Cricetulus griseus: one gene and its partners. The protein of the gene in region 1 purifies or fractionates together with the protein of each later gene. This does not show direct contact. Links are inferred from orthologs where the notes say so. Each region holds a gene or a part of one and is shown on either strand. Other genes may lie near its edges. The genes, in order: Wdr5, Ncoa6, Zzz3, Pdpk1, Sesn2, Max and Hdac2.

Evidence for each region.
Region 2: the proteins of Wdr5 (region 1) and Ncoa6 purify together in Homo sapiens (co-immunoprecipitation; 10 studies listed by BioGRID and IntAct, counting the BioPlex papers as one, with this or other methods). This does not show direct contact. The link is inferred for Cricetulus griseus from reciprocal best matches to the Homo sapiens genes WDR5 and NCOA6.
Region 3: the proteins of Wdr5 (region 1) and Zzz3 purify together in Homo sapiens (affinity purification with mass spectrometry; 5 studies listed by BioGRID and IntAct, counting the BioPlex papers as one, with this or other methods). This does not show direct contact. The link is inferred for Cricetulus griseus from reciprocal best matches to the Homo sapiens genes WDR5 and ZZZ3.
Region 4: the proteins of Wdr5 (region 1) and Pdpk1 purify together in Homo sapiens (affinity purification with mass spectrometry; 4 studies listed by BioGRID and IntAct, counting the BioPlex papers as one, with this or other methods). This does not show direct contact. The link is inferred for Cricetulus griseus from reciprocal best matches to the Homo sapiens genes WDR5 and PDPK1.
Region 5: the proteins of Wdr5 (region 1) and Sesn2 purify together in Homo sapiens (affinity purification with mass spectrometry; 3 studies listed by BioGRID and IntAct, counting the BioPlex papers as one, with this or other methods). This does not show direct contact. The link is inferred for Cricetulus griseus from reciprocal best matches to the Homo sapiens genes WDR5 and SESN2.
Region 6: the proteins of Wdr5 (region 1) and Max purify together in Homo sapiens (affinity purification with mass spectrometry; 4 studies listed by BioGRID and IntAct, with this or other methods). This does not show direct contact. The link is inferred for Cricetulus griseus from reciprocal best matches to the Homo sapiens genes WDR5 and MAX.
Region 7: the proteins of Wdr5 (region 1) and Hdac2 purify together in Homo sapiens (affinity purification with mass spectrometry; 7 studies listed by BioGRID and IntAct, with this or other methods). This does not show direct contact. The link is inferred for Cricetulus griseus from reciprocal best matches to the Homo sapiens genes WDR5 and HDAC2.

What each region holds. Positions count from the first base shown.
Region 1 is NC_048599.1:139,212,473-139,215,972, reverse strand, and holds part of Wdr5 (WD repeat-containing protein 5), read right to left. Parts: intron 3,282-3,500; coding exon 3,207-3,281; intron 2,672-3,206; coding exon 2,584-2,671; intron 1,727-2,583; coding exon 1,626-1,726; 3' UTR 1-1,625.
Region 2 is NC_048599.1:24,164,141-24,168,280, forward strand, and holds the start of Ncoa6 (nuclear receptor coactivator 6), read left to right. Parts: upstream 1-1,340; 5' UTR 1,341-1,526; intron 1,527-4,140. UniProt on the Homo sapiens protein: Nuclear receptor coactivator that directly binds nuclear receptors and stimulates the transcriptional activities in a hormone-dependent fashion. Coactivates expression in an agonist- and AF2-dependent manner.
Region 3 is NW_023276806.1:6,917,287-6,921,574, forward strand, and holds the start of Zzz3 (ZZ-type zinc finger-containing protein 3), read right to left. Parts: upstream 2,801-4,288; 5' UTR 2,686-2,800; coding exon of another isoform or gene 2,663-2,685; intron 1-2,662.
Region 4 is NC_048600.1:43,647,790-43,651,289, reverse strand, and holds part of Pdpk1 (3-phosphoinositide-dependent protein kinase 1), read left to right. Parts: intron 1-125; coding exon 126-168; intron 169-387; coding exon 388-525; intron 526-3,500. UniProt on the Homo sapiens protein: Serine/threonine kinase which acts as a master kinase, phosphorylating and activating a subgroup of the AGC family of protein kinases.
Region 5 is NC_048595.1:20,769,768-20,771,962, forward strand, and holds part of Sesn2 (sestrin-2), read left to right. Parts: intron 1-1,345; coding exon 1,346-1,490; intron 1,491-2,071; coding exon 2,072-2,158; 3' UTR 2,159-2,195. UniProt on the Homo sapiens protein: Functions as an intracellular leucine sensor that negatively regulates the mTORC1 signaling pathway through the GATOR complex. In absence of leucine, binds the GATOR subcomplex GATOR2 and prevents mTORC1 signaling.
Region 6 is NC_048598.1:126,561,541-126,565,590, forward strand, and holds the start of Max (protein max), read left to right. Parts: upstream 1-1,250; 5' UTR 1,251-1,480; coding exon 1,481-1,516; intron 1,517-2,193; coding exon 2,194-2,220; intron 2,221-4,050. UniProt on the Homo sapiens protein: Transcription regulator. Forms a sequence-specific DNA-binding protein complex with MYC or MAD which recognizes the core sequence 5'-CAC[GA]TG-3'. The MYC:MAX complex is a transcriptional activator, whereas the MAD:MAX complex is a repressor.
Region 7 is NC_048595.1:259,859,414-259,862,913, forward strand, and holds part of Hdac2 (histone deacetylase 2), read left to right. Parts: intron 1-243; coding exon 244-384; intron 385-646; coding exon 647-755; intron 756-1,346; coding exon 1,347-1,477; intron 1,478-1,873; coding exon 1,874-2,029; intron 2,030-3,312; coding exon 3,313-3,370; intron 3,371-3,500. UniProt on the Homo sapiens protein: Histone deacetylase that catalyzes the deacetylation of lysine residues on the N-terminal part of the core histones (H2A, H2B, H3 and H4).

The DNA of each region.
Region 1 (3,500 bases):
ATTTTCAAAAAGAGAATGTATTTTTACATAAATCTACAACAGAGTTCAACTGTAGAAAAAATAAACTATACTTGGGGATACTGCGCTTAGCATGGCAAGCAAGCTCCCTCCCTGAGGAGGGGGCCCACATACCAGGCCACAGCTGGAAGGACCTCAACACCCCTCCAGAAACCCCACAGCAACATGCCCACAACGCTGACCAGAACCCAGGCACATCTATCCAAAAGATGCCAGGGGCCCCAGAACCCACATGTCAGTGACAAGCCACCCTCTTTAACCCCATGTGCACACCATCTCCCCAAGAGAGGGGACAGGAGTCTGCAGGAGTTACCTTTTCCAACCCCTTTTAGGATTCTTATCTTGTCACGCTGGAGTGGCCAACACATGGCTGTCAGTACCATGGGCGGAGGACAGGCCCTCAGCAAAGAAAGCAGAACAGCCACAGACCTCGATGACCTGGCTTCATATGGATTTGTTGGCTACCCAGGCTGCAGCAGCCAGAGCAAGCCCAGAACCTCTCTGCAGCCTTCTGCTGTCCCTGCCTGTACAGAAGCCTCACCCACCCATCCTCTGCATTCTGTTCCATGTCAGGCCACCCTGGGTATGGCCAGCAATTGTGAAAATGCTGTGCAGCTCTGAGTCTGGCCATCATCTCTTCCCAGTTCTGGTCATGCAGAAGCCAGGACGCCAGAGGATCCATTTGAGGCAGAGACTAAGAGAGGCTGGTGGGTTTAGAGGTCAAGGCAGGAGGCTGTACCTGCTGGGACAAGCACCATATTGAACCCCTCCCTCCTGCACAGGTGACCCCGAGCCTCACGAAGAATGGGGAGGACCAGAACCTCCCTAACATGATGCTTGTCCAAGATTTCCACTCTTTTTCAACTGAGTTTTCCTCTCAAAACACTCAGTGCCCAGAGCAGCTATTGGGAAAGAGGCATAGCAAGGACCCATCTTCCCAGAGACGTTTCCAGCCCCTGCTCTGGGGGGAACTTTCTAAAATCCAGGTGCGGATGAGCTCCTATCAGAGCTCAGGGCCACAGAGGGGTCAAGCCCACCTTTTATTACAGTGTATATAGCTTACTGAGTGACACCAGTGAGACAAAGGGACACTGTGCAACCACTGAGAGGTCAGTGTTGACCTATGAACTCCAAAAATACAAAGGGACTTGACACGGATACAACTTACAACCTTTCTGTTTCCAGAAAGTCCTGGAAACACACTGGATACTATTACAGGTAGGGAACATGAACAAGCAGGCCAAGGCTGGAGGCAGGGAACAGGAGTGGGGCTGCAGGTCCTGCTCCAGTGTGTGTACTGGGCAATACAATACCAAAAAGATACAGAACAATTACTGGGAAAAATGATGAGTTGAACTCACTCTTGTAATAAAAAATTAAAAATTTGCTGCCTCTGAGCACAGACCAGGAACTCCCCAGGCAGGGACAGAATTGGCAAGAAATGTCACAGTGGCTATAAAAACTTGGTAGTGTGCACTCCCCTGACCTGACATCTTCAGGGAGTAGGTGCACCAGACCTGTTACCCCAGTCTGGCCCCACACCTCTGCCCCTCGTGTGTTTCTTGCCAATCCAGGCGGTTTCCTGAAGTCTCTTGTGGAGCCAGGACTTAGCAGTCACTCTTCCACAGTTTGATTGTTTTGTCATTCTCTAGTGCTGCTGAGGCAATGATGTTCTCTGTCGGGTGACATGCCGTGGAAATCACAACATCTGAAAGAGAGTCAGTTAGGTGCTACTCCAGGATAAGCAGTGGCAGCACAGGCCTGGCTGGCCTCAGAAGTACAGGGAGCAACACAGGCTTTGGGGGGAGTGCTCAGAATGCCAGGAACAGCAACAAGCACCACAGCCTATGTCTGCTGGGCTCAGGAAATTTGGTGGGTGCCCAGCAGGGTCCTCATTCTTGTCTACATGCCCTCCTCACTGGCCCCAAGCTGACTATTCTCACTGCCTCCTACTACCCAACACAACATTCATGAGGTTGCTCTCCCTGAGCAAGAGGTAACCATACAGCCGCAGGGATACTGGCATTAATGAGATGGCATGAAGTCCACTAACTCTGCTTGTTCCCTGGGTGCTCAGGAACCAAGCTACTCCCAGATGAAGGCAACTGTTGTCAGAACCAGGTACTGGACTCTTTCAAGGCTGAGCTCTGCCCGAGAGATGGAAAACCAGCATCCCTCAAAGGGGCTGGAGCCTCCAGGAAACGCAGCTCACCATGTAGGTTACAAACTTTCCATATTCACTTTTGGGTCCCATTGCCAGCAGCTGTCAGGCCCCAGATACTTGGCCTCCAGTGAGGAAAATAAGCTATACTCCCAGAAGGCCTGGGTCTGAGCCAACACCTATAACCAACCAGTCCCAGAACCCCAGACAAGAGCCCTTGATGCTGCTTCCAAGCCAGTCACATGCCCTCTCAGGCCTGCAGGGCTAGGATGGCAGACAAAACAGAGTAGCAACAGCTGCCTGTGTGCCCCTAAATCACAAGACAACCAAGCACTTGGAGGACTGAGAGGCTCCCCTGGGTGGTTCCACCCACCCATATGGCCCATCTCCAGATGACTGCCCACCTGTGTGACCCTGCAACTTCTGCACAATCTCCTTGGTCTGCAGATTCCAAATATACACCAGGTTATCTTCAGAACCAGACACGATCCACTGCAGTAGCACAGCAGGCAGCCAGTGAGGATAGGCAAGACAGAAGGAAGTTATGTGCTGAGTAGGTAACAATAGGCAAGCTGCCTGGTATCACTCTAACCCCTCATTCCCCCAACCTGGGGACATGCCAAATGCCTCCCATGCCACCCCTCAGTGAGTCTAAGTTTCTATCCAGTCACCACCTGCTCTTAGATCTTCAACCATATTCAAGTGCAAGACACCACAGTTCCATCCAGAAGGGCATATATGGGTTTGTTCCATAGGCTCAGGAAAGCTTCACAAAGACATGAAGGCACCTGTGATGGGTGGCCTCTCAGGAGAGAGCTGGCAGGGTTATAGCAGCTCAGTGCAAGACTCACCTTCCCTGCCTGGTGTTGGTGGCACACGCCTTTAATCCTAGCACTTGGGAAGCAGAGGCAGTTGGATCTCTGTGAGTTCAAGGCCAGCCTGGTCTACAGAGCAAGTGCCAGGACAGCCTCCAAAGCTACACAGAGAAACCCTGTCTCAAAACACAAAAACAAAGACAAAGACTCACCTTCCCACCTGTCACAGAGAAATTGGCAAATATGCAGTACTTCTCGTTCTTGTGGCCAGTGTATGTCTTCAGGCACTGAAAAGGTAGGCATGCATTGTTAGCACCTGTGCTTCTCTCTCACTCCAGAGGGTTCCATGGTCTGAGCACATACATCTGACCAGAGCCTAAACATATTCTGAACGACACATACAAGGGCAAAGCCCAGAGGCAGACTAGCCATTTATAAACCCACATCTTTAAAGGGAATTGTACCAAACTTGTGTATCAAAAGACTTAAGTCTTCTTTTGAAGGCT
Region 2 (4,140 bases), about 120 Mb from region 1:
AGCTTCTGAGGGAACTCAGCTTGTCAGCCTTGATAAACAAGTGCATTTATCTATTAACCAATCTTGCCTGCCTGGGTTTTTTTAATTAAAAAAAATGATTTTAGGGACTGGAGAGGTGACTCAGTAGTTAAGAGCACTGGCCACTCTTCCAGAGGACCCAGGGATTCCCAGAACCCAGATGACAGCTCACAACTCTCTGTAACTCCAATTCCAAGGGACCCAACACCTCTTCTGACCTCCACAGGCCTCAGGCACAAGTGTGTGGTGCACATATATACACGTGTGGAGAACATATGTACATATGTGCTACATACACACACACACACACACACACAGGCAAAAACACTCACATAAAAATAAATAGATCTTTAAAATAATTATTAATAGGTTTCATCATGAGATTTTCATACATGCGTATCACGCTTATAGTTACTTCGCATTACCTCTCCCATCCCTTCTGCCCTCAAATAGTTCTCACTCTGCAGCTTTTATCACACACACACACACACACACACACACACACACACACACCCCTAGATTCTGTCGAATCATTTTTAGTAAGAGAGTGGCACGCTCAGAATTCTGACGGAGGAATATTACTAGCAAGAAAAATAGTGGCGCACGCTGGCGGTGCTGGTAAGGGTGGTACCCATACCAGTCTATGTGCACAGTGTGCACTCAATAAATACCCGTGGAAAGAAAGCGTTTCAGAGTCCTCTCTTAGATGAGACACTATAACTGAGCCGTTAAGAATCCACCTGCCCCAACCGTCCTTACAGAGGAAGAAGCTGAGACACAGAGGTAAAGAAAATCATGAAGCTAAGGGGTGGGAACTGATTTAAGTGACTCTGGGCTCAGCCCAGTGCTAAGAACACTTCCCTGCTTTGGGAAGAGAGGAAGCCAGAGGCCCGCCTCCACCTGTTCACTCACCAGTTCTATTTTGTGAGCACCTACCGTGTTTGTTAGGGTGGTGGGACGAAGTGGGGGGGGGGGAGATAGAATAAAGGTTATCTTTATCGTCAGTCATTAGACGCTTTCCAAGCCTTTCCCTCATTTCCTCTGCGCAAGGAAATACTATCATCCCCATAGCTGGGGAGAGCACACTGAGGCGTGGAGCGTTACGCAGCACACACAGCCAGCCGCTGGGACAGCGCTGAACATGCACGCAGACCAAGATCGCACCCAGCACCTCGGCTCACATGCTCGCTAGCAATCGAGCTCGCGCGCTCCACCTTGCGCGCCAGGGGACGCCCGGTCACGTGGGCAGGGCCCCGCCCCTCGGGCCCGCCCCGCCCCGCCGCGCTCCCTCCCTCTCTCCTTCCTCCCTCCCTCCCCGGCCCGGTCCGGCCCATCCCCCCTCCCCACCGGCTCCCTGAGGCCTGCCGGGTCGGGCTGCGGCGGCCGGGCGCCGACGGCCGGACGGACGGGCGCACGCGAGGACCGGCGGACGGACGCGCCGAGGGCGCCGGGCACGCACGGCCCGGGCCGGCGCTGCGAGGCCCGCCCGGGGCCGGGGCCGCGCTCAGGTGAGGCGACGGCGACGCTGGCCCGTAAGGGGTGGGCCTGCTGAGCGTCCCGGGCCCGGCCCGGCAGGCTTCGTGGGGAGGAGGCCCGCCCGGGCCTGGCGCGCGAAGATGGCGCCGGGCGGCCGTGCAGCTCGGCCCGAGTGCGGCCCGGGCCCGCAGCCGCCCCACCCGCCGCCGCGCTCGTGTCCCCGTCGCCATGTTGGGGAGCGGGCCCGGGGCCTGCGGCGGGCGCGGCGGGAGCGGCGGCGGCGGTGGGGAGTGCGGGTCGGGGCCCGCGGAGTGCAGGCGGCCGGGGTTGCGCGGGCGGCGCTGCGGCCCAGGAGCCGGCTATACCGCGGGCGTGAGGTCCGGGCTGGGGGCGCGGAGAAAAAGACCCCGGGAGCGGACGGGACCGGGGTTGGGGGCGGGGCCGAGGGGGCGGCGGGCCGAGGGGGTGCCGGGCGGTGGAGTTGGGTTAGGCCGTGCGCTGTGAACCGAGCCCCAGAGCAGCAGCCAGGGGTAGGGGAGGCAGCTTGGGGGCCGAGTCCTGGCTGTCAGGGCTGGAGTTGTTCTTTGCGTGCGCTGGAGGAGATTGCTTAGGAATGGGGGTTGCGAACTCGGGGATCAGAGTGGGTCACCGACGCGGGAATCAGCCTGGAAGGGTCCTGGCACTGAATGGCCAGTCTTTATGACTCCCAAGGGTCTCGGGACCTGTGAGCCCTGAGGAGCCTCCAGTCCCGTTGGAGGCAGCAACAGGAAAAGGGAAGAGCTTGATGAGGAAAGAAAGGGTGCCAGGCAGGGGCTGGATGTAGGAGCTGGACAGCAAAAGGTACAGAGTGGAACTGGTAGGAAAGGAGAGAACCTCCATCAACTTAAGGAGTTGTCTTTAAAAGGAGGGACCCGGCTGTTTGGGGGCGGTGACCCAAAGTGTGTTTCCTGGAAGGGGACAGCCGCTGCTTAAAGAGCAGGGTCACCTGGGGAGGTCGTCTGAAAGGTCTTGTTGAAACTAGTCAGAATCGTGAAGAAGGAAAGGACATGTAATAACTACGGTGGCTTTACAGAGATCATGCCATGGTTTCAAATCAAGTAGTGATTTTAGCCAAGGTAATTGATTTCCTAAGATAGTTTGTGTCGGTGACAGAGGCTCCTGGATATGGACTAAGGCTTCCTCATTCAGTTGCTAAGTCAAACTCCATTAAATTATCAGAGTCATTAATTTTTGTTTTAACAAGTTTGTCAGTACAAAGCCTGAGTGGGATACAAAAATGTATAATCAATTATTGGATATTTCCTAGATCTCCATTGATACAAAAAAAAAAGCATCAAGAAAGAACCTCTTTCTAGAGTTTAAAAAAATGTTCCCCCTCGTCTGGATGTTTATTGCACAGCAAAAGAACACAAAAAGCTTAAAAGGGGAAAAAAGGATAATGATAGAGACCTAGGGTCCCCATCATATTCACTTTAATTGAATTTCTGTTATAAATAGGCAATTGAGAGTTCAAATGGACTATGAGATAAATCAGCCAGTGATATATAGTTGACTTTTAATGTCCCTGAGTTTTGCATCTACAGCTTCAACCAATCACCGATTAGAAACATTCATAAAACAAAAAATTGAAACTGTGCTAAACATACAGGGTTTTTTCCTTGTCACTGTTATTTTTTCTTGTTATTATTATTCCCTAAACTAGACAGCTTAACAACTGTTTACATGACATTTACATTTTATTGGCTATTACAGGTAGACAGGATACACAAATATTGTATCACTTTATATAATGATTTTGATATCCTAGGAGGTCCTAGAATCCATTGCCCATGGATATACCAAGGAATGACAGACAATACAAAACTCCACATAATTAAAAAACAAAACAAACTTAGAAGCCAGGCACGGTGGTTCACATCTATATCTCAACACATAGGAGACTGAGGCAGGAGAGTCTGGGCTATAGAGTAAAGGCCCTGCCTCCAGAGGAAAAAAAATAGACTTTCAGGTGTTGGCATTGTAGTTAAATGGTAGAGTGTTTGCCTAGCATACAACATAAGGGCCTTGGTTTTATTCCCAGCACAAAAGGGATGGAGTTTAATCAAAAGAATTTTATAAGGATTTTCAAAACCACATGTATATTCAGTACCAATTTTTCTGAGTCTTTCTAATGCAGAGATCTGATCTTATGTGTGCCATGGTCCCTGTAGCATGGATCTCTCAAAATAATATTTTTAATTGTATAAAGTAAATGACATTGATTACAAAGGAAACTAGTTACATTCAAATAGTTACTAAGTATAAAAATTGTTTATGCTGAAGTATCTGTACACCTATTTGTGAATGTGGTGGTAGGGATTGAACTCAGGGTCTTGCTCAATCTAGGTAAGCCTGCAATACTGAACTATTCCCCCCTTGCAGAGTGTGTGTGTGTGTGTGTGTGTGTGTGTGTGTGTGTGTGTGGAGGAGGTGGAGGAGTAGTACTTATCGAGTTTGTGCATATGCATGGGGAGACCAGAGGTTGACTTTGGTGTCTTCCTTGATTGTTTCTCTACCTTATTATTTTTTTACCTTGACATTTTATTTTCTGTAGTTATTTGTGTGTGGGGCCATGTGTGTGGAATCTGAGGACAACTTGTGGGGATC
Region 3 (4,288 bases), on another chromosome or scaffold:
CAACTACTGGGCTGTGATCATTGGGAAAGGACTAAAACTGTAGACATGCTGGAAGACTAACAAGGAGCACATTTTACAGCAAGTGTTTCCTGGTATTTCAATCTGTTGTAACTTGCATGGCCTGAGAGCCCACATCCTGAGCTTGCTAGAAACCCAGGTCTGTGTTTTGACACTTAGAACGGAAGGGGAAAAAGACAAGAAGGAAGAAAGAACTGCAGAGTATAAGGCCCTATGCAACCCATTCATCCATGCTGGCGTCTGGGAAACGCTGGTATCTCTGCACTCAAGGCAGTGGCCTAATAATTCAATCACCAAGTTGCAAACCAAATTAGATACATAATTCTCCTTAATATTTTATTAAATCATAATGATTAAAACAACACATTATAAATCAGATCATGATCACTTCGGCTAAAGAAGCACCAAACAGCAGTTTATAAAATTATCTTAATACACGTAAAGTAAAAACCTAATCAAAGTATGAAGGCCAAGTACAACAAATCTTTGTTACGTATTTTCTTCCTTTTTCCTATTTTTGCATAAGCATACATGAAGTATACGTATGTTTAACAATTATATAAGATAAACTGAATATAAAGCCATTCATCAATAAGGGACTTTTAATGAAGTATGTCTACATTATTCCAACCAAATTTCAATATTGTTGTACCAAGCTTATTTATTTAGCAAAGAAGTACAAACTAAAGCTGTTATTTTCTTCATTTTAACTAAATACAAAGTCACTAAAAAATCCAGTGAGGTTTGGGCATATAATTGTATGCTTGCCAAACATGAAGTAGTTACGGCAATAGAATGGAACCCATTTATTTGCCAACTAGCCCAGGATACCTTTACTGATAAACTAAAATAAGAGACAACTGGTGACAGCCTTAGCCACACCCATTTGGTAAAAGACACTTAGAATTAAGGGAAACCCTGAGTTCACATTTTAGTAATGAGACTGATGCTGTCCTATGCTACCCACCAATTACTGAGCAGCAGTGTTTCTGGGGGACAGTGAGAGTATGAACCTCACTAGAATTAAGCACACTTTGTCCTGCATTCTCCATCCTCCTAAGTCTTCTTACAGAATGAAAAGGGCCAACCAACCAAACTTCTTCAGCTTGTCCACAGAGTTCCCAAGCTGCCCTCAATCCATACATCCAAACTCTTATCAGCCCTTCCACTGAACCACCTTCCCCTAAACTGGAATCTACCTTTATAAACCTGTAAAGTCCTGAAACATTATCATAAACCTCTAACCCGTGACCACACCCACACAACTCAATCAGAACCAAAAGAAACAGGACAGACAAAGGCCCACCCACTAGAAACAATGCACGATGCCGCTGCATTTTTACTCAAAGGCTATCTCTAATCCAGTACCTGTAATCTCTGGCTCCTTTTCTACTCACCAAAAGTGTCCCAGTTTACTTTAGGAATTGAGGAGTTGGTAACTAATATCAGTATTATATTATTTTTATATTTTGGGGTTTTTGTTTTGTATTTTTGAGACAGAGTCTTGATATGTAGCCCTGGAACTCACTATGTAGACCAGGCTGGCCTCCTGCTCACAGAGATCCTGCCTCTGCCTCTGGAGTGCTGGGATTAAAGGCATGCGCCACCATGCTCAGCTAACACCGTTTTTTGTTGTTGGGGGGGAGGGGGAGACAGGGTTTCTCTGTGTAGCTTTGAAGCCTGTCCTGGAATGTGCTCTGTAGACCAGGCTGATGTTGAACTCACAGAGATCCTCCTGCCTCTGCCTCCCAAGTGCTAGGATTAAAGGTGTGCACCACCAACGCCTGACTAACACCAGTATTATTATCATCGTATCAGTTTTACTAAGTGAACAGCTTCAAGAAAACTGGTCACAATACCCATATATTTTCAGGTGTAAAGACCAAAATCAAAGGCAAAACCATGTCAGAGTAACTGAGAGGTGTCACCAATATGACTTTCCTACCTGTCTATAGCATAAGCTGTGCTCAGGCTTAGTTTATCATACAAGTCTCTGAGATGTCTTTTGAGACAGGGTCTTACTATGCAGCCCTGGATGGCCTGGCCCTAAAACTCTCTCCCGCATCCCTGATGGTGGGATTACAGGTGCGCATTGTCACACAGCTAGTCATACAACTCTTTTAAAAGACAGATTATTTCAACTGTACAATTATCAATCTAGTGTAACAGAACAACGCCTGACCTTATCCACTGGATTATTGAAAGGTTAACAGTCCCAGATCAGAAGTCTAGAATTCTATCATGCAGTTATATGTAAAGGATCTCCTTTGTCATCAAGAGAGATACAAGAGATGACTGACAAACAGACAGAGAGCTATATAGAAAGACAGACAGGACAGATTCAAATGAATGCACACTGAAGACAACTGAGAAGAAGTGAAAGAGGGGTCACATGCCCCTTAAACACGTTTAAGGCAAAGACAGGTTTAATGGTCTAAAGATACCAACAGTCATTTCCTTCATCCATTTGTTGAGAAGAAAGAAATGGAAACGTATTTAATCTTCAGCCCATCTCCTACAGCTTGAGATCACCATAAAACAGCAAGGCAGAAGAAGAAAGACGGAAAATAACATGTCTCCTCCCACCCAAGTAAACAAAATCAAACTACCGTTGTCATCTCTGCTGCACAGTTGAGTAACTTACCTGTGTAACCAGAGATCTATCATTGTGGAAATAGTCTTTCTTTTCTTATATCCGCAAGGAGATGAAGCTATGATCTACAACAGAGCTTAAGCTTCAGGCTCTCAGCTTCAGCCTCGGAGACTATAGAAACTCTTAACCGCCTCTCTTTAAAATGGTAAAAACAAAAAAACAAAAACAACAACAAAAAAAAATATTAAATAAGGAAATTAACTCAGCTAGTAATTTACTCTGATTACAGAAGCACACAGTGTCTTCACAGGGATGTTTTGGTGCTTCCTGCTAAGTGGTCTCAGGGGCACTAAGCAACCAGGACAGAAATGAAGAAACTTGAAATATAACAAATCCTTACAAACAACTCAGTTATTAACTTGAGTAAAACATGACTCAGCCCTTTCTTGCAACTTGCTGTAATCTAAGTCCCCCAGCCCCTCCCTGGCTTAAAGATGACCTAGAGGATTTCTGAAGGATTTCCTAGATTTAAAACTGAGTACAAAACCTAGGGCCTAACAACAACCAGCAGACTAAGCACACAGCTTAACTCCTCTGTATCACAGCACACATGACACACTGAAGACTCAGCTGCCCTTGAAGCTTCTGGTGCTTTCTGCCACATGTATTTTTTTTTCCTCCTCCTCCCTCCCTCTCTGTCTCTCTCCTCTCCACCCACCCCCTTCGTGGTTTTTTGTTTTTGAGACAAGGTCTCCCTACGCAGCCCTGGCTGTCCTAGAACTAACTGTATAATCAAGCTGACTTTAAACTCAGTGACCTTCCAAGCGAGGGGATTAAAGGTGTGCACTACCACGCCCAGCCATATAGACTCTCAACGAGAAAAAAGCAATAGTGAGATGAATGGGATTCATATGTGTGATGTGAAATCCACAAAGAATCAATAATGTTTTCGGAGCTAAATACTCAGTCTGGTATTTTAATTAACTTAATTACATGCTAATTCTTGGCATGTTTATAGCTAACTGCAGTTTTACCAGCATGGTATGGCATCTTTTTTGGAAACTATATACTCTAGCTACCTGGGTTATTAGGAGTGGCCATCTGCAATAACAGCACTACAAGAAAGACAAGCAGACGCTTATCATTAACCTTGCTCCTTTTTTCTAAGCATTAAACTAGGTATTTTTAAATGGATACTATTTAAGTGGGGTATTATAAATTAAGGGCTGGTGTAATCATCAACTCTTTAACCCAGCATTCTATCTAGTAAAAAATGAACAGATTACTGTTAAAGGTGATGTGCTGCCTACTTAGGTATAGCCAACAGAATCTAAGTAAGTATTACAATGATTCAATGCCTGCTATACTTATTTTAATGCACGTAAGATTTTTTTTGTCACTGTAAATGCTATAGTATTTTGCTGGTTTTTGTTTTGTTGAGACAGGGTCTCCCTATGTAGCCCAGGCTAATCTAACTCACAGAAATCCACCTGTCTCTGACTCCTGAGTGCTAGACTTACCCATGTGAGCCAGCATACCTAGCCTGTGGCTTTGAGATAGGGTTTCCAGTAGCCCAGACTGACCTCAAACTTCCCTATGCTGCTGAACTTGAACTACCAAAGGCTGGGATTACAGGAGTGCACAAATAATCATGCCTGCTGCTCTTTTTGTTGGTTT
Region 4 (3,500 bases), on another chromosome or scaffold:
ATCCAATGTAACTTTAAATGTAACTTCAAATTGTGTGTATGGATTGGGCAACCTGTGCAGAGTGACAGTGACTTACTAGACTCATCTCATTATTACACTGTGTTTTTTTTCTTTCCCCAAACCAGGTTGTTCTGGCCCGAGAACTGGCTACTTCCAGAGAATACGCTAGTAAGTACTAACTCCAGTGAGCTGTGTGTCTAGGATTCAGGGGTAGTGCCACTTTTGTACATATGGCAGGCAGTGTGGGTAGTGGTAGGGCCTATGCTGATTTCAGTCTATGATAAAGGTTAGTCTTCTAGACCATGAAAGCTTGAGTGGGTGATTTTGGGAAAGCTTCAGTTTATGTCAGTTACTTTTATAAATTTACTGTTTTTCACATTTTCTAAGTTAAAATTCTGGAGAAACGTCATATTATAAAAGAGAACAAAGTCCCGTATGTAACTAGAGAGAGAGATGTGATGTCACGCCTGGATCACCCATTCTTTGTGAAACTTTACTTTACATTTCAAGACGACGAAAAGTTGTGTATCCTTTGCATGGTCAGTGCTGTCTGAAAACTACCTTGTGTTTTAGATTAGTGACTACATTGTTTGTTCCTTGAAAGGGCACAGCATGGATTCCCCATGGGGACTGATATCCTTGGAGGCAACAGACAGTACCAGCACATGACTGAGGCTCTTGCCAGTGTGCCCTCTCCGAAGGGGAAACCATCCCACAGTGTTGGTGTTTATCGATAAATAATGTATCTAATGGAGTCTTGTTTTAGCTGTGATTGCTGGACATTGATGCAGAAATGTCCCCTCATTTCTCTAGCAAATGTTTTGGAATGTCTGTTAGGTATTATTGACTCCTGTTTTTGAAAAGTGAGGGCTTGAGAGAAAAAATGATTTTGAGCTTCCTCAAGTTTCTAGAGTTGGTATCAACTTCTCCATACCTTCTTCTGTCCTAAGGTACTGAGTTTGGTCAGAAGAACAACCTGACTGGGCATTTGAGAAGTTCAGGAACCCAGAGTGCTATCCTTTTGTAGCTCTGTCTACTGCTGGTCTTGCTCAGCCCCTCCAACTCCTTAGGGCTGTTTAAATTGCCTTTCTAGCAGATTCACTTGCATGTATGTCCATTGTTGCTGCCCACATTCCTCTTTTTCCTGTGTTTTATTTACTTATTTATTATTTCGAGACAAGGTTTCTCTGCATAGCATTTGCTGGCTGTCTTGGGACTCACTATGTAGATAAGATTGCCCTCGAGCCCACCAAGATCTCTTTGCCTCTGCCTTCTTAGTGCTGGACTAAAAGCATGCACCACCACACCCTCCATCTGCTTCCACTTTTAATGACATCCCTGGCTTCTTCTGCTAGATGCATCTGCTTGTGCTCTCCCCCTCCATTTAGAGCTTATTTACGGGGAGAGGGGCAAAATGCTGTAAGGGAAGGCTCTACCTTCTTCATGGGATTGGTTATGCTTTGGGAGAGCTTGTATTAAAAACTGTTACAGATGTTCAGGTAGTAGGATAAGTTGGAAGGACAGGTGTTGGTGTCTGGAGTGTGTGGGTCTTTGAGCCTTGTAGATGTATGAAGGCAGAAGCATGTGGGTTCCTCAGTGGGCCAGGTTTCTGAGCTGTGAAGTTCTGCTACCAATTCTGGATTTTCTCTTAGTGAGGGGTATGGAGTTTGCTCTAATTCTGGTGCCTGTGGTCCAGACTTGGGGAAAGAAAAGTTAGATGTCTACTAGTGTTTGCCTTCAGAGCCTGGTCTACACTGTCATCTGTTACTGAGCCTGGAGAGACTGGGCAGTGGCTAGATGGGAATAGGGTGTCATTTGGTGTATGTGCTGGTGCTTGTCTGAGGTCTCAGTGAGCCAGTGGGTGGCTGCTAGCAAAGCCTTCGGGGAGGTGATGTGCAGATAAGAGTTGTCAGCCAGTTGACCAGCACTCAGAAGACTCTGGGAGCCTGGAGATCAGAGGCCACAGATCACATAGTTTCTGATGAGGGGCTGCCTAGTTGCCCAGCCTGGCAACCTAGTAAGTGGCCTGTCCCTGGCCAGAGGATTAGCCCATGAACAAGTTGTTGAGAGTTGGACCGGCAGTTTCCCTGGGGCCAAAGTTTATGACAGAGGTGAGGCAGTCAGTAGAGACAGACCAAATGGGCTTTTCCCGGAGGGCTTGTTTATTTTATTTTTAAAAAACATTTATTTATTTTATTATGCTTGCAGTGTTCTGTCTGCATGTATGCCTGCAGGCCAGAAGAGGGTACCAGATCTCATTATAGATGGTTATGAGCCACCACGTGGTTGCTGGAAATTGAACTCAGGACCCCTGGAAGACCAGCTAGTTCTTAACCACTGAGCCATCTCTCCAGCTCCTATTTTTTAAATAGGAAGGTCCAGTAGGTTCCAGGAGAACAAATGTGTTGATGATGGTGGTCTTTAGAGTAAGTAGAGCTTACTGTTTCCCACTATCATCCCTTGTCCCCCACAGTCATCAGTGGCCTCTTTATATTTCATTACATATCTCTCTGAACCTACCTTAATTCCACTTTCATGTTCCCTGTGCATGAAAGTACCCCCTTTTGAGTCCATGGAAGTCCAGGCTCAGGCCTGAGCTTTTCTGCCAGTCCTTAGCACAGTGCTTTTTGTTGGACTTGAAGCTCTGTTACTAGTCAGCTTTGTGTCACTGCAACAAAATGTCTGGGGCAGCTAGTTCTTTAAAGGGAAGAGATTTGTTTAGTTCACAGGTCACAGAAGGCTGAGTGTCCAAATGGCGTGCATGGTGCTGTAGTCTTATGGTATATAGTAGATGGTGGATCATGTATGAAGGAAGGATCATTTAAGGCAGGAGGCAGAGTACGTAGGTGTAGTTGGACTTACTACTTTCATGGAAATCCCCCCCTCTTAAAATTAATTATTTATTTACTTAAATTTTGGGGACAGGGTTTCTTTGTGTTGCCAGGGTTAAAGGTATATACCACCACCTCCCGGCTATGACACTCTTTGAAGAATTTCCAATTACTAGTGAGTCTCAGGAGCCCAGTGATCCAAAGACATGCTGCTGCTTAAAGATCCCCTGACCCCATAGTCCTACCACCTGGAGACCAAGCCTCTAGTCACATGCACCCTCGAGGAGACACCAGATTGTATCAAGACTGTGGATAGCCAAGACAGAATTACACATGCTTGACTTCATCTTCTGTCAGGGTCACAGTGGTAGAATCATAGCTCAGAAGCCAGACCAGAGTGTCCTTACTATGTGATTTCTAAATGAGACTGGCCATGTCAGTTCAGGTGGAAAGAACTCTAGGTCTTTGTTTAATGGCACATACTGTTCTTGGTCTAAGATCCAGAAGGTCTTAATGGCTCACCTACCTCCCATGAGAATGAGATCCAGTGGCTTTTGCCTCACTGGGAATCCTCACTATACATTGCATTGAGAAAGAAAAATGAAACTTTTTGCATGAAGAAATGCCCAGATATGACACTGTCCTTTATTTAGTCATAGTTTCAAGTGT
Region 5 (2,195 bases), on another chromosome or scaffold:
CTTATAAACATTATTCGCACTGACTAGTCTCATACACGAGTTCTCATTGATGAATCCTCGAAATAAAATGGTTTATCTAAGATATATAAAAAACTCTATTTATTCATTTATTTTTAAGGTAGGGTTTCACAACAGTCCAGATTGACCATGAACTCACAGCAGCCTATCTATTTCAGTCTTTCGTGTGCTGGGATAGGCTTTTGCCTTTGAGGGATGGGGGGGTGTTCCTGAGACCAGGTTTTTCTGTGGCTTTCGAGGCTGTCCTGGAACTAGCTCTTGTAGACCAGGCTGGTCTCAAACTCACAGAGATCCGCCTGCCTCTGCCTCCCGAGTGCTGGGACTAAAGGTGTGCGCCACCACCGCCTGCCCCGGCTTTCCTTTCTTTGTTGACTTGTTTTTTACTAATACCTGTAATTCCAGTACTGGGAAGGCAAAAACAGGAGGATCAGTTAGGTGTTCAAGGTCATCCTTCACTATATAACAAGTTCACCAGCTAGACTACAGGACTCTAAAAAATTAAAAAAACAAAAAACAAACAAACAAACAAACCACCAAAACTGCTGGGCAGTGGTGATGCACGCCCCGATTCTAGCACTTGGGAGGCAGAAGCAGGCAGATCTCTGGGAGTTCCAAGGCCCGCCTGGTCTACACAGTCAAAACCTTGTCGCAACAAAAAAAACAAAAACAAAAAAAACAAGAAGACCAAAAAACCCACCAAAATTGTGCAGGAGGTCACCTTATTTTATTGTATTCAGGTGTTTCCTTCCTGGTTTTCCCTATGCACATGCATAACTACACTGAGGAGAGACAAGCGGCTTCTAAACTCATTGCCAACTTGCTGTTGGATTTTGAAGCAGTTAATTGCCTTCTCTAGCTAGACCTTAGCTTGCCTGTCTGGTTTTAGCTGTGTCTCCTTTTTCCCACCACTGCTTCGTTCTCCAGGATCACCACTGACCTTCCTGTCACAGTGAGTGTAGGAGAGCTGGATTTGAAGTCATTCCCTGCTGTGGAGGGAATGCCTTCTTTGAATCTCAGTAAAATGAAATTGATGAACACAGTATATTGAATATGACAGAGTATGTAATTTGTAGGATTGTCACCGGCTCAGTCAGAATTCAATAGTGCGTGCTCATTGTTAGTGTTACTTAGAGTAGTCCTCTGTGAGCCTGGTAACCTATGACGCATGATGTCAGCTGTTTTCCGAGAGGAACCAGGCTTCTGATTGCTTCTTACCTTCTGGCTTTTCTGGCCACTCTCTGTTCCTCCTTCTGTAGGGTGGGGTGAGTGGGCCACTCTGCTTGTGAGATCAGGGCTTGAGTAACGCTGCCCGGGTCTTTTCCATCAGATACGATGACTACGACTATGGGGAGGTAAACCAACTCCTGGAAAGGAACCTCAAAATTTACATCAAGACCGTGGCCTGCTACCCAGAGAAGACAACCCGCAGGATGTACCACCTCTTCTGGAGGCACTTCCGCCACTCAGAGAAGGTAACAGCCATGTGGATGTGAAAAACAGCCAAGCCAGGCCTGTAGAAGAGCTAGAGAGTAGGACCCAGTGAGGATCACAGTGGGAACCTGGGCCTGTTGTCCTTGGTTAAATCCTATTCCACTGTGTGATTTCAGACTTCATTCAAATAAGGCACCTGGGGGCCTGTTCCCACAGACTTTGAGTGGCAGTTTGGCAGGCATAGGTTCAAATCAGTTTCTCTCACATAGGAGCACTGTGCCTTTGGACATGTGACTTTGCGTCTTTGAGCTTTTCCCCTTTATAATGAGAAGAGACACTGCCTGGGCTTCAAAGCTGGGAAGGCACAATGAGACTATATATGGAAGCATTTGATCCTTCACTGCAGCCAGCTAATGGTAGCTCTTTCAGACTTGGGAGATAAGGTACTTAGTCACGACAGGGGGCTTCCTCAGCAGTCACTGCACCAGATTGCACAGAGCCTTCTTAGCACAGGTCGGGGCATCTCGGTGGGAGGCGTGGGTGAGGTGAGTGCCCAGGGAACTGGTAGACTGGGAGGGAGGGCTGCAGAGCAGTTGTGAGCAAGCCTCTTTCTGTGCCCCAGGTTCACGTGAACTTGTTGCTCCTGGAGGCCCGGATGCAAGCAGCCCTGCTCTATGCCCTCCGTGCCATCACCCGCTACATGACCTGACTCCCTCCCACGCAGGACCAGCACCCGGAGCAGCCAA
Region 6 (4,050 bases), on another chromosome or scaffold:
CACAACCATCTGTTATGAGGTCCAGTGCCCTATTCTGATGTGCAGATATACATGGAAGCAGAATGTTGTATACGTAATAAATAAATAGATAGATAGATAGATAAAATGTAAAACAAAACAAAACAAAACAAAACTGTTTTCACTCAGGAATCAGTAACTCATAGCCCAAACCCAAGACTTCATTCATTTTGGAAACCAGTTGTAAATTAACCAGTTTGGTTAATTTCTCTGGTGATAGAAGGTGCCTTTATTATTTTTCTTTCATCAAGGAAGGACCTGGTGCACACTGAAAATGGTGGCAGGGTAGTCCGGTTTTCGCTTCCACAAGCTGTGAGATCTTTGAGGGGCCCTGTTCAGTCGTACCCATCACGGCATGCCTGTTCTGCCACATTAGATAATAAATACTGGTGGGATGTAGTCATGCTTCATACCTCGGTGTATAAATATGACTTTGGTTGGACAGGGAGCCGCACAACTTTCCCGTTTTTATTCTTTCTGCAGTTCTTAATTAAGGTTCTCCCGCACTGGGGCACTCCTTCATCTGCATGGGCTACGACAAACAGTTGGGTTTTATTTACTTCCACCTAAGCGAGATTTTGTAAACATTCAAGCCGAGTAAGGACGGTCCTCTCGGACAAATGAAAGCAAAATTCTTGGGACTAAGTGTACCCCGGCGAGGCAGGTCCTTTAGCTTGTCCTGTATCGCCTCTTAACTCCCCCAAACTAGATCCCGAGGGTCCGCGTGGGCATCCCGACCGCGCCCCCTGGCCAGCAGCAGCTTGATTCCTTCCCGTGAGGGTTACGCCCCAGGGCGCAAGTGGAGCGACTCAAGCGTTAAACAAGACAATGTAAAAGCAGTCTAGCCAAGAAGAGACAGTGTTATTTTGGCAGCTAGCTTCTCCCCCTGAGCCTCCACCCAATCCCTTGGGCCAGGCGCCCAGAGCTCAGACTGTGGCCGGCTCCAGAAGCCCAGCTCCCTCCACGTGTCCTGTCTTCCCAGCAGCCTCTCCGCCGCTTGGGGAGGAAAATCTCCTGACAACTCGCGGTCTGTGGACTACATCTCCCGGGAGGCACCGCGCCACTTCTCGCACCCACCACCGGCGCGCACGCGCCCTGCGCTCTGTCAACAAGCGGGGCTGGTGAAGATTGTGTGCGCTTCCTGATGGGATTTGTAGTTTCTCCGGCGCTCTCCGACCTGCCCATCAGACGCTCGAGGACTACAAGTCTCGGCTCTCCCGGCGCGGAGAGTCCGGTCACGTGTCAGGGGGCCGACCGGGCGTGCGTGCCGCCGTTGATCGGGTGCTGCAGTGAGGTGGTTGTCGCCCGTGTTGTGTGTGTGTGAGTGTGTGTGAGTGAGTGAGTGAGTGAGTGAGTGTGTGCGTGGGGGCACTCGGCTTGTTGTTGTCGGTGACTTCCCCCTTCCCTCCACCCCTCCCCTCCCCGGCCGCCGCTGCAGTGGCCGCTCCCTGGGCCGTAGGAAATGAGCGATAACGATGACATCGAGGTGGAGAGCGACGTGAGTCCCGGGGCTTCTTCCTTTCCGTTCGGGTTGTCAGGCGGGGACAGCGGCCGGGGCCCTCAGCGGGGCGACGGCGGGAGGGGGCCGGGTCGCCGCCGCCTCCGTCCCCTTCCCCCGGGGCCGGGACCGCCTGCGTCGCGCTCCGCGCTCGCTCCCCTCCAGTCCTGTCCGGAGAGGCCTCCTGGGACTGAAGGTGGGAGCAGACACGCGGCCTCTGGGACCCCCACCTCCTCCCGTGGAGGAGGGTGCCGAGGCCTCCCTCTCCACTCTATCCGGCTGGGGATCCCATTATCCGTCCGGATCCTGGGCAAGGAGACCAGCGCTCAGGACCTGCTTCTTGGGTCCACGATCTCCTTTTACCCGTGGACCCGTTGATCCTGGGGGTGAGGGGACTGGGAGTGAGTGCTCTGACTCCCGAGGGGGGTCCGGGGAGAGCAGTGTGCTCCGGACCCCTCTTGTCCGGTTCGGATGCCAGAAAGAGGGGCGGCGCCTGGGACCCCCACCAGGCTGCGGGATCCCGCTGGAGAGAGTGGAGGGGAAAGAGGGAGGGAGGGGTGTCGGGCTGACTCCCCACCCGCTGCTTCCTCCGCCGCCGGCATTTTCTTTCTTATTATTGAATTCGAAGTGTAAAAATAACTTCTATATTTTCTATTTTTTTTTCTCTCTTATTCCAGGAAGAGCAACCGAGGTTTCAATCTGCGGTACGTCTCCTACTCTCCATTTCATTTTCATTTCCGTTCAGTTTTGGTCCTTTTTGGAGTCAGAGAGAAAAAGTGATCGTTCTTTATTTTTTAATATTCTTGTAAACTCTCCTCTTAACCGCTAAGGTGAGGTGGAGTCAGCTGGGGTTGGAGGTGGGGGGGTGGGGGGCTGCAAATCCTATGATTCTGGCTTCTCAGGTGGTAGATCCTAGTGAGTAGGTAGGTGAGTGAGAGAGCGAGCCCCATGCTAAAACTGAGTTGTTCTGGAGTGTTCAGTTAAGGATGCAGCCCAGGCACGTGAGAAGTGAAGGGTAGTGTTATTTCAGAGCAGACTTACAGGTCAGGTTTACTTAGGAGCAAGTAAGCTTTAAGCACTATCTGCACAGTTGTGTGAAGCTGCAAGCACAGTAATAATCGCCTTTAGCCAAAGTCACATGACTGCCACCACAGACTCTTAAAACTAGAAAAGCATGCTATTCTCAACAATAGCAACAACAACAAAATAGAAACAGGGAGGAGCCAGAAGTTAAATCTTGAAAGTGTCACAGCTTCTTGTGGTCTGACTTTCCATTTGAGAAGAAAAAAAAAAAAAAAGGTTGAAAAGTGGCATTGTAGGAGACAGCTACGCTAAAAGGTGTCCGGATGAGTCCATACAGTGTTACCAGTAACTTCTTAGGGTTTTGATGTTAAAGCTTTTTGTAGGTGTCTCTCTGGTGGATTTGGGTTGACACCATGAGCTCTTGTCTTTAGAGTCTGAGACTTAGTAGTAAATGGGTATAGATTAGGGAGAGGGAAGAAGACTGAGAATACATCCAGATCAGAAGAGAGACGACAAGTGTTATATTTGATAGTTGGCAATGGTGAAAAGGGTGTACAGGGAGGGCCATAATGCCTTTGCCTGTGGGGATTAGGTAATGAGGTAGTCAAGGATAGAGGGAGAGGTAAGGACTGGGATACTGAGGAATGCATGCCCCTTGTAGAAAGTCCGAAGCCACCTAGCTCTGGTGCTTGCTGTATGAGAGTGAGCTCAGTGTTGCTAGGTCTTATTGTTATTTCAGGGCTGGGGTTAGACCCTTTACCACTGAGCCACACTCCCTCGATTTTCCTACTTTAAGAGAAATGTTAAAATGCTAGAAACAGATTATTATTTTTCCAGTGTATTTGCGTGTAGTTTTTGGCTATTCTGGGACTTGAACCCAGGGCCCTCGGCATGCCCGGGGCCTGGCTATAACCTCAGCCTACTCAATTGATTTTTTAAGGTTACATTCACTTATTTAATGTGTGTTTGTGATTGTGTGCATGCCATGGCTCACATGTAACGGTCAGAGGACAACTTGAGGGAGTGGGGTTTCTCCTTCCAGCATGTGGGTCTGGGGTTGAACTTAGGATCATCAGGTTTGGCCTCAACAACTTTACCCACGAAGCTATTTGATTTTTAAATGATATGTGGAACAGCTGTTTGGGGGCTTATAGAGAATTAGCTGGATGCAACTAGGCTTGGTTGCCCAGTCCCGTGAACGCCCTTACTCGGGATGCCGAGGTAGGAAGATCAGAAGTTCAGGCCTGTTTTCAGCAATTTATTGAGGCCCAGCCTTAACATACCAAAAAAAAAAAAAAAAAAGAGTCCACGGTTGTATCCAGTTCTGTAGGCCCAGTGCTTAGGAGGCTTTGGCAGAGGGTTGCCCTGGTTTAGAGGCTGGCCTGAGCTACAGAATGAGATTCTGTCTCAAACAAACAAGAGCTCTCTACCTTTGTCTCTCTCTCTCGCTTGGGAATTTAGCTCCTTAGGACACTTAACTTTCAGTAGGCCCTGGTTCATCCCTAGCACTG
Region 7 (3,500 bases), on another chromosome or scaffold:
GAGCTGGAACTTGTGGCCATCACCACTTCTTGTATGAGTGCATTCTCCCTCTTATACAGTTACATTAGCCTATTTTGAGACTAGTCCTGTGAATCTTGATCCGTACATCCACAGAGCATAGCCACCATCCTGGTACCAGGCAAAAGTCACTCAAAGGGATTTTTTTTTTTTTTTAATTAAGGCTAAAGACAATAAAGAGTGGGGGAAATTACTCTTTAACAAGCATGAATTTCTTGGTCTTAGGTCATGCTAAATGTGTAGAAGTAGTAAAAACTTTCAACTTGCCATTGCTGATGCTTGGTGGAGGTGGCTATACAATCCGAAACGTTGCTCGGTGTTGGACATATGAGACTGCAGTTGCCCTGGATTGTGAAATTCCTAATGGTAAGTGTTGAAGTTGTGGTATCTACTAGAACATCTGATGTGCAGAAATAAATGAATGGGACATTGCAGCCAGAGGCCTGGAACGTGCAATCTTACTGATGAATAAATGATTAGATTGCAAGTCTATGAGGGTATTCCCTGTGTTTTCACTTCCAAGCCTTCCTTCGGGAGTATTTCTCTATCGGGATCTGGATTAGTGTTTGTTAGCTTCTATGGAAACTAAGCTTTCAGTATGTAACTTGTTTTTCATTGTTTTTAATAGAGTTGCCATATAATGATTACTTTGAGTATTTTGGACCGGATTTCAAACTGCATATTAGTCCTTCAAACATGACAAACCAGAACACTCCAGAATATATGGAAAAGATAAAGTAAGAACTCATCTCATGTTAATGCAAGTTTAGAAGGCTACATAAGGTCATATAGAGAATGCTATTTTAGCTGTATGCATCAGATATTTCCTTGGTTTTTAAAGGATTTGAAACTTTAAGAATACTAATATTTTAATCTACTATATCAACACAAATGCAGAACCTTTGTAAACAAACATTTTTATTCAAGTGCAATTTTAAATTGCCAAGGGCACTAAATTTTACCCTTTCTTGCTTTCCCTTAAAATGGTGCTTTGTTTGCATTATCTGAAACGGTTTATTAAAGCTTTATCTCTACAGAATGTAGAGACACGTCGGTATGGGTTGTGATCATCTTTACTGTAGACTAGCTGTGTGATATTGGGCAAGTACACTTGTTGCCTCATCATTAAATGGGGAATGAATTAGTTAGTGCCCACCTCTTTATCTGTGGATTCAATTAGTATGTGCAAAGAATTCCTGTTTAAATGTTGTTTTGTTCAGTAAGTAGTTAACTAAATGAAAGATGATGTTGTTTTGTTTAATGTTTCTACCTGTGGATCACAGGAACTTTACATAAAGTGGTTTTGTCTAATAAATTGTGTTATTTAGACAGCGTTTATTTGAAAATCTTCGAATGTTGCCACATGCACCTGGCGTTCAAATGCAAGCGATTCCAGAAGATGCTGTTCATGAAGAGAGCGGGGATGAGGATGGAGAAGATCCGGACAAGCGGATTTCGAGTAAGAAGCCCTTGCTCTGTATTCTTGCTTTTCTCTGGTTCATCAAAATAAGACTTGAAACTGAAGGCAGTGCACAGGCGTGTTTCACCTAGCACGTGTGGTGATTGTCCTTTCCTCCATTTAATTGCATGTAGATTTATTTAGCTTCCTGATGTCTCAAAGCCTGAAGTAATAATACCAGTCTTATTGTGTGTGAGTACACAGATATGGCTAAGTCCAGAAACTTAAGTATTCCGTTTCCTCAGTGGGCTGAGTTGAATGTGGTAACTGCTTATATATGTATTGATGTATGTAATGATTGTTGAATCTGGCTATTGTCAAATTTATTTATTTATTTGTGTGTGTGTGTGTGTGTGTGTGTGTGTGTGTGTGTGTGTGTGTGTGTGTGTGTATCAGTTCGTGCATCAGACAAGCGGATAGCTTGTGATGAAGAATTCTCAGATTCTGAGGATGAAGGCGAAGGAGGTCGTCGGAATGTTGCTGATCATAAGAAAGGAGCAAAGAAAGCTAGGATTGAAGAGGACAAGAAGGAGACAGAGGACAAAAAGACAGGTCAGTTTGTGGTTTGGTGAAAATTTCATTGTCACTGTTACTGCTTAAGAGTTGCACTGTAGCTTTTAGAAGCTCCCATAGTCACACAAGGGTCAGGGCTCGAGCTGTCATGAGGTACCTTTCCCTTGAGTAAATGATGCTTGCCTCTGAAGCTTGTCGTTTAATGTTTTCAGAATTCTTTTCAAGCGTTTTCAAGTGTATGTGCTCGCATTGTCTTTGTGATAGAGAAACTTCATCTCCTTGATAACACAGACAAAGAAAAAAGAGGATCCATTACATGTCGTGGGATGGGGAAAAGGAAACAACAGAGCAGTCACAAACATTGCTCCAAACTATTTAACGTTGTCTTAGTGAAGCAAAAGTTAAGTTCATTGTCCTTTGAAAAGTTGCTTTAAACATGAAGGCTCTTCAGGAACTAAAGAAACTAAAACAGGAACAGTAGGAAGGGGCTTAGGTGCGGGCTATGGAGGACAGTTTCTGCTGTCTTCATGCATTTCAGAATGTAGCGTGCACGCCATTGTGGCACCTCCCTAGAGGGTTCACATCTCTGGTTGCTGTGCTGCCATAGGCAGAGGTAAGGAATGGGAAGTAGCCTGTTGAGCATTTGTTTCCTCATACTAACAATGATAATGAATGCAAGTGGTAGTTAACCTGTTAATCATCCGAGGCAGCCTCACCATGTAGGTCTGGCTGGTCTGGTTATTTAACTTGCTGCCACCCTCATGATGTGACCCCTGGGATCTAATGTGGGAGGAAGATAGTGACTTCTACAAGCTGTCTCCTGCCCCCTGTGGATGCCATGCACACCCTGTAAATAAATACTTTAAAACAGTGAGTTCGCTTCTGCTTGCTTTTAGGATCATGTGTCTTACAGCAGACACACTCATCTTCGGCTCCTGTCTTACCACTGCCTCTGCCTCATAGTCCTTTTAAGTTTTTCTCCAGCACACACTGTTCACTCTTACCCACTGAGAGTGTGTTTATGCCTTGGGACCCCAAGTGTCCTTCCTCTGACAGACCGCTTTCCTGACCTGTGCTCTACGCTGGTTGGAAGTTCTTCACGGTACCTGCAGTACCGTGATGCTTCAGAACTGGAAGTTAAAGAGGGTGCAAGCATATGGGCATGCTGACAGTGAGCCCCTGCATCTCTCACTCAGAGCCTAAGGACACTTTCTAGTGACAATTCAGGAGCAGTGAGTTTAGTGTAGCTTCTTATAATTTAAGATAAGGCGTATATATTTCATATTTCAAAATAGGTTTTAATCTTTTCCTTCTGTCTTTAGATGTTAAGGAAGAAGACAAATCCAAGGACAGTAGTGGTGAAAAAACAGATTCCAAAGGGTGAGTGGTGCTTCTCACCTCAGAGACTAACAGTCATACATGTGTTTGGGGAAGCCGTGTATACTTGACATACTGGACTAACCCAAGAACGTGGAACATTGTACTCCAAGAGAGAAATCTTCTGAATGGG